Linked DNA regions of Xenopus tropicalis. The protein of the gene in region 1 interacts with the protein of each later gene in a pairwise test. Links are inferred from orthologs where the notes say so. Each region holds a gene or a part of one and is shown in the gene's direction. Other genes may lie near its edges. The genes, in order: fam114a1 and rab2a.

Region 1 (3,829 bases):
AATAATAACCATAATCTGAGCCTCTTAGTTACATGTTTTTCTCAATGATGCATTGATGATTTTATTTTACCGCCATTAACTGCCAACAAAACATAACTACTGTAAATAAAGCAACATTGCTGTAACTATGTAGTTTCACTGTAATGCTAATATATTTGGATCAATTCAGGTCTAATTTTGGTAAGACTGCAAGTATTTACTGAAAAGAACATACTTAGTGGCCTTTTATGTATTTTTTTTTCTTTACAGAAGAAGAGACAGGAGAATTTGCCACCATGCTTACTGAGCTGCTTTTTGAATTACATGTTGCAGCTACCCCTGATAAGCTCAATAAGGTATGAGTTCCACCTTAGTACCACCCCCTTCAACCCCATTTCAATAATAACCTTTTATTTATAGCACCATCTCCCGGTTACCTTTGAATAATTGCTAAAACCAATGCACTTAACTATAGACAAACAACATAAGGAGTTTATGTGTCACAGTTCTGACATAATAGCTCTTGTTTTTTTCCAGAAGTTCAGTGTGCCTAACTCGAGCCAACTCATAATTGTGCCCTTGATGCAAAATGTTGCAATGTTTTGTAAATAATGTGCATTTTCTTCTGCGATGAAGATCATATATATTTACATGCCCCTCAGTTGAGCATAATTTTTGGAGTGTTAATATTTAGGGGATTTAAGGGAGCCCTTTATTTTATGATGCTTGATGGCAGGTGTAATGTATAGGTGTGCTGTACCTACATTTAGCAGAACAGGACATTGGAGCTAGGTTCTAAACTTCATTGTATTGGTATATTAATGTGTGCAAGCTTACTTTGGTCTGAGTGTTAGTTTCTGTAATAATAAATGATGACCAATAAATAATAGTAAAGTTTTGAAAGCCAGAAACATGTTCCACAATTTTCTACTAATCTTCCACAAACTCCTCATAAGGTTAATCTAATTTCTATAACAAGATAAAGCCAAATGTAATGTAACAGTACACGCCAGTTTCCTTACCTAAATATACTGTACAAGCATGCATTCCTTTACCTGCATTTGTCTGTTACTTAGGCTATGAAAAAAGCTCATGACTGGTTGTCCTCACAAAGCTTTCATTCAGAAGAGGAGCCACCACATCCTAAATCAGAGCGGGAGGAAGAAAAAGAGTCAAGTGAGGAGGCCAAAGAAGAAACAACAGTAGAAAACCAGAACATTGAGGTGAATTCCAGTGGTTCATTCAATATCAGTACACTTTCTCTTCACCTTTTAATCTTAAACACTACAGTATGAGCTGCTATATTGTAAATTCATGGTTGAATTGTACTCAGTGCTTCTCTGTGCAGTCTTTTAACAAGCTTAGAAGGTTGTTCCAACTACAACTATGCCTGGATTTTATCCAACAGGGAAGCAGCAGTCAGATCAGCTAAGAAACTGGAAAATATTGAGGGGCAGCTTTTCCCCTCTAATGTGGTCCCTGAACCGACAGAAAAATCAAACCTGCACGATTGAGATCTGGCCAATTTCAGGCCAGATGTAGGTCGGGTAGGCCTGTTGGGGGTGCCCATACACAAGCAAATAAGCTGCCACATTGGTCTAAAGGACCAATAGCGGCAGCTGAAATCAGCCCGTGTATGGCCACCTTAAGTGTACTAGCGGGAGCTGTTTTAGTGCTTTCTTAGAAAAAGAGGCAACATGTTCCTGGCAAACAGGATATCACATATTTTAACATATAGAACAGAGTGATGCAAACATGCAATGAGAGCCCTTATTACCCCTTGATCCCTGACTTACTAGCTCCTGTTAAACAAAACATTGATCTAACCCAGTACTTCGCACTTCTTTGCATATCCATTCAGTTATTCCTGTCCATTTCCAATGTGCATGTTATAGAAAATACAATAATGTAATACATAGTGAAGAAGTTTTAAAATTGAAAACAGGCTAACAATGTGGGTTAAATAAAAAACTCAGAAAGTCCCTCACCAACATAGGTAAGTTATAACTATATTACTCTGATTCCTTTTGTACAGGAATTCTACATGCGTTCTATTGAAAGCCTTGCAGAAATCACTGCCCGCTGCATTGAGCAGCTCCATAAAGTAGCAGAGTTAATTCTACATGGACAAGAAGTGGAAAAGCCAGAGAAAGATCAAGCAGTTGTCTTAACTAAGTAAGCATTCAGTGGATCCTAATTTCCATTCGCCTTCCCCCTCTGCGCTGATATATGCTTTATGTCCACTTATGTGTCTCACCCAGGCAGCCAAGTCAGGATTGGAAACGTTCATATGGTTACATTTCTTATAGACAGTACAATAGTTCTGGCATGGAAAAACCAGGGTGCATATTAACTTTTGGATTGCCTAGGGATTTATATTGTGAATTAGAAGTGTAAAATATAGTGCCAGGAGGCTGTCTAACTATATTTTTTTATAAATCACAAATTAAACTATTTTAAAATTGTTTTTGGAAGGTAGATTTAGATTACCAGCGCAATGGTAATCCCCCTGCATAATAATGACCTCCTGTTAACTAAGCAGTCACAACAAAAGGTGAAGGGAGAGAATTGTATAATGGGAATCTAATTATCTACCTCACAAGGACATGGAGAGTTTCAGTCTCTCTGTCCTTGTTTTCCCTTGAGAAATAACAGAAACCACAGATTTTTCTAGGCAAATTATGTATATTTCAAGCCTATGTATTGATTTATTCTGAAGAACAAGTGTGTATACTGCCACTTTAAGAACTTGTTACCACTAAGATGTTACGTTATGCCTATTTTAGTCATAAAAAAAAAGTTCATCTCAAGAGTATAAGACCCCAAGTAAGTTTTACCCTAAGTCACAATATTGCACTCCTGTTATAACAACACACTGCAGTGACTGCATTTTGACATCTTATTATTTGGGTTTTTAAGGCTTACCATTGCTATGTGTAAAGAAGTGTCCTCTTTATCAAGGAAGTTTTCTGATTCTCTGACTTCAGCTGCGGTAAGTATCAACTGGAAGGCAAAGGTTTGCACTCATTTATACTAGTTCCATATGGCAGTTTTCTGGCTGTACTTAGTCTGGTGCATTAGACAGACATGCTCCATTGCGGTGGAACCCTGTAAATAACATCTTGACAAGTAGGTAAATAAAGGGATCCCTTTTAATGTTTTACCTGAAATAGCACTGAATAGCACAGATATTTTGCACTCATTTAGTAAATGAGTAAATAAGCATTAAAGACCTCAATAATTTTTCTTATTTTACAGAGCAAGACTAAGGCAGAAGTCCTGAATCCACTGGTAAACAGTATACAGCTTGAGGTAATAGTACCACTGTATGTCTGTTCTTTCTCCTTACAGCTGTGGGGGTATGTAATGTGCAACCGGGGATAAAACAGAAGAGGTGGGAGCATAAGTGCTGAAATATGCAACCTCATGCACAACTATGTGCCTTCTATTCATGCCCCTAATGAATACAGTGCTGGCGAATGCAAGTAGTTGTGTATTTATAACTTATATTTTTTAGGTTAGGTTATTGCTGTACTAGGAATGAAAGTGTCTTTTCTTTATCTTTATAACTGATATATTTATGATATATATTTATAATTAATCACTTATATTATTTAGGTTAGGTTATTGCTGTACTAGGCATCAAAGTATATTTTCTTTATCTTTATGATTCATATATTTATTATATATATTTATAATTGATCACTTATATTATTTAGGTTAGGTTATTACTGTACTAGGCATGAAAGTCTTTTCTGTCTCTCTCACAACAGAAGATCTGTGTTACTTTTTAGGGCTTTAACAGACATGGAGATTACTCGCCAGCGTTAAATCTCCTCTATTGCAGGGA
Region 2 (3,829 bases), on another chromosome or scaffold:
TAAAACATCACCGGTGATGTTGTTTATAGCAGCTAATCAGATGCTTTGCTTTGATTTTCTGTATGTTGAAATCTAATTGCTGATTGGTTGCCCTGGGCCACATCACCGGTAATGCTTCACTCCACTTTTTACACAGCATGATAAATATACCCTAATTGTTCATCATATAAGATTCAAGGTTTTTGCAGATAGCAGAGTTCTGGACTCCAGTATTGTGGGATGTGTTGTCAGCCTGTGAGCCATTATGTTGTCCCATATACAGGTCCTTTTAAAAAAATTAGCATATTGTGATAAAGTTCATTATTTTCTGTAATGTACTGATAAACATTAGACTTTCATATATTTTAGATTCATTACACACAACTGAAGTAGTTCAAGCCTTTTCTTGTTTTAATATTGATGATTGTGGAATACAGCTCATGAAAACCCAAAATTCCTATCTCAAAAAATTAGCATATCATGAAAAGGTTCTCTAAATGAGCTATTAACCTAATCATCTGAATCAACAAATTAACTCTAAAAACCTGCAAAAGATTCCTGAGGCTTTTAAAAACTCCCAGCCTGGTTCATTACTCAAAACCGCAATCATGGGTAAGACTGCCGACCTGACTGCTGTCCAGAAGGCCATCATTGACACCCTCAAGCAAGAGGGTAAGACACAGAAAGAAATTTCTGAACGAATAGGCTGTTCCCAGAGTGCTGTATCAAGGCACCTCAGTGGGAAGTCTGTGGGAAGGAAAAAGTGTGGCAGAAAATGCTGCACAACGAGAAGAGGTGACTGGGCCCTGAGGAAGATTGTGGAGAAGGACCGATTCCTGACCTTGGGGGACCTGCGGAAGCAGTGGACTGAGTCTGGAGTAGAAACATCCAGAGCCACCGTGTACAGGCGTGTGCAGGAAATGGGCTACAGGTGCTGCATTCCCCAGGTCAAGCCACTTTTGAACCAGAAACAGCGGCAGAAGCGCCTGACCTGGGCTACAGAGAAGCAGCACTGGACTGTTGCTCAGTGGTCCAAAGTATGTCATTCGGAAATCAAGGTGCCAGAGTCTGGAGGAAGACTGGGGAGAGGGAAATGCCAAAATGCCTGAAGTCCAGTGTCAAGTACCCACAGTCAGTGATGGTCTGGGGTGCCATGTCAGCTGCTGGTGTTGGTCCACTGTGTTTTATCAAGGGCAGGGTCAATGCAGCTAGCTATCAGGAGATTTTGGAGCACTTCATGCTTCCATCTGCTGAAAAGCTTTATGGAGATGAAGATTTCATTTTTCAGCACGACCTGGCACCTGCTCACAGTGCCAAAACCACTGGTAAATGGTTTACTGACCATGGTATTACTGTGCTCAATTGGCCTGCCAACTCTCCTGACCTGAACCCCATAGAGAATCTGTGGGATATTGTGAAGAGAAAGTTGAGAGACACAAGACCCAACAGTCTGTATGAGCTTAAGGCCGCTATTGAAGCATCCTGGGCCTCCATAACACCTGAGCAGTGCCACAGGCTGATTGCCTCCATGCCACGCCACATTGAAGCAGTCATTTCTGCAAAAGGATTCCCGACCAAGTATTGAGTGCATAACTGAACATAATTATTTGAAGGTTGACTTTTTTTGTATTAAAAACACTTTTTTTTTATTGGGCGGATGAAATATGCTAATTTTTTGAGATAGGAATTTTGGGTTTTCATGAGCTGTATTCCACAATCATCAATATTAAAACAAGAAAAGGCTTGAACTACTTCAGTTGTGTGTAATGAATCTAAAATATATGAAAGTCTAATGTTTATCAGTACATTACAGAAAATAATGAACTTTATCACAATATGCTAATTTTTTGAAAAGGACCTGTACATAATGGTCATTTGGAATGTAACAAAAAAAAAGAAACAATTTCATCGAGTTTAACCTGTTTGTCTTAAAGGGGTGGTTCCCCTTTAAGTTAACTTTTAGTATGTTATAGAATGGCCAATTCTAAGCAACTTTTCAATTGGCCTTCATTTTTTTTTTTTTTTAATTGAGTTTAATTATTTGCCTTCTTCTTTCAATTCTTTGCAGCTTTCAAATGGGGGTCACTGACCCTGGAAGCCAAAACCTAATGCTCTGAGGCTCCAGTTTTATTGTTATTGTTACTTTTTATTACTGATTTTTTATGCAGGTCCCTCCCCTATTCATTTACCAGTCTCTCATTTAAACCACCCCTGGACCCTAGCAACCAGATAGCTGCTGAAACGCCAAATTGGAGAGCTGCTGAATGACTTCAGCAGTATATAGGGTAACAAATGGTCATTCTTCACAAATCTCGCCTCTGCTTGCCTTTAGACTGGACCACCTAAACCACTGTTTAATGTATTCTCATTTTATAATTTTTAGGCACTTTACTTTTTTTCTCCTCTTGTTTTGCAGGTGTTGGAAAATCATGTCTCTTATTGCAGTTTACAGATAAAAGGTTTCAACCTGTGCATGACCTTACAATTGGTAAGTTTACGCTGAAAAGTGTCAACTTTTGATTAACAGCTCTTTTGTTAGACACCCTTCAGTAATTCTTATTGCTTACCTGGTACTTTGAGCTGATACTCCTCTTCTTAAAAAAATACAATAGCATAAGGGCCTGATTGCTGAGCTATGTGCCACCATTTTTTTCCATACTTAAAAGCTTTTGCACTGCACATGCACCCTCTTAAAATTGGTGCAGGGGACACCTGTAAAAATGAAGACAGTACCACGGACTGGTGCATATATTAGAGGAAAGTAGTGCAATGCTAGGGTATCAAGTAATTGGCTAGAATTACAGGGGGTTCTTAACAACTCAGCCCCCCCCCCCCCCCCCAATGACTTTACTGTTCTTTCAAGCATTCGGATAGTAGTGGTTAAACTTGAACACAATGAATTTTTATTTGCACTTTATATAATTAATAAACATTTCACTAGCTACAACTTAAATTTGATTAGGCAATTTTCACTTCTGTATATATTGTAGAGATGCACCTAATCCAGGTTTTGGTTCGTGATTCGGCCTTTTTCATCAAGATTCGGATTCTGACAAATCCACGCTCCGGCAGATCCAAATCCTAAATATCATGTGACTTTTTGTCATGTAAACACAGAAGTTGAAAATTTTTCACCACACGTGGCATTTAACCCTTTCAAAGCCTAATTAGCATGCTAATTCGGATTTGGTTCGGTATTTGGCCAAATCCTTTACGGTGGATTTGGGGGTTCGGCCGAACCCAAAAAAGTGGATTCTGTGCATCCCTAATATAATGTAGAAAGCAGTAATATTATGAGAGCTTACTATTGTGAATTAATGCTTCTATTTTGTTTTTAAAATGTAACACACTGTATGAACTTTACAATCAGGATCTCTTAATTTTGCATATCATAATTATTTTGTAGGTGTAGAATTTGGTGCAAGAATGATTACAATCGATGGCAAGCAGATAAAGCTTCAAATATGGGACACTGTAAGTAATAAAGACAAAACAATATATTGTCTGTTTCCTCTGCCTCTTTTGTTGTACCACATATTCTGTCAACGATCTTGTAAGTTGATATAGGGCTGATTCTCGGGTAAGAATAAGCCATTCTACTGTCCTTCGATCATTTGTGTGTTTGTGCATTGGCCTGGGTGCAGACAAACCTGCTCTCTATGTCTGGTCCCAGGATGACACAGTACTTGTGACTGCAGAGACACAAATGAGCAGAGGCCAGCGGAGTGAAATTACCCTTAAAAGGGAATGCAACCCCTGCTTATCTCTATTGACTTAAATTGGAAATGTCTGGCTGCCCCAGTATTGACACTTTTCAGTCCTAAAACACCCTCTAGAACAGTGATCCTCT

What was found.
Region 2: the proteins of fam114a1 (region 1) and rab2a interact in binary tests that used the Homo sapiens proteins (3 or more experiments, as listed by UniProt). The two-hybrid records come from large-scale screens. The link is inferred for Xenopus tropicalis from reciprocal best matches to the Homo sapiens genes FAM114A1 and RAB2A.

The regions. Positions count from the first base shown.
Region 1 is NC_030677.2:35,822,585-35,826,413, forward strand, and holds part of fam114a1 (protein NOXP20), read left to right. Parts: intron 1-249; coding exon 250-335; intron 336-1,055; coding exon 1,056-1,202; intron 1,203-2,014; coding exon 2,015-2,154; intron 2,155-2,898; coding exon 2,899-2,971; intron 2,972-3,237; coding exon 3,238-3,291; intron 3,292-3,829. UniProt on the Homo sapiens protein: May play a role in neuronal cell development.
Region 2 is NC_030682.2:116,955,785-116,959,613, forward strand, and holds part of rab2a (ras-related protein Rab-2A), read left to right. Parts: intron 1-2,395; coding exon 2,396-2,467; intron 2,468-3,385; coding exon 3,386-3,453; intron 3,454-3,829.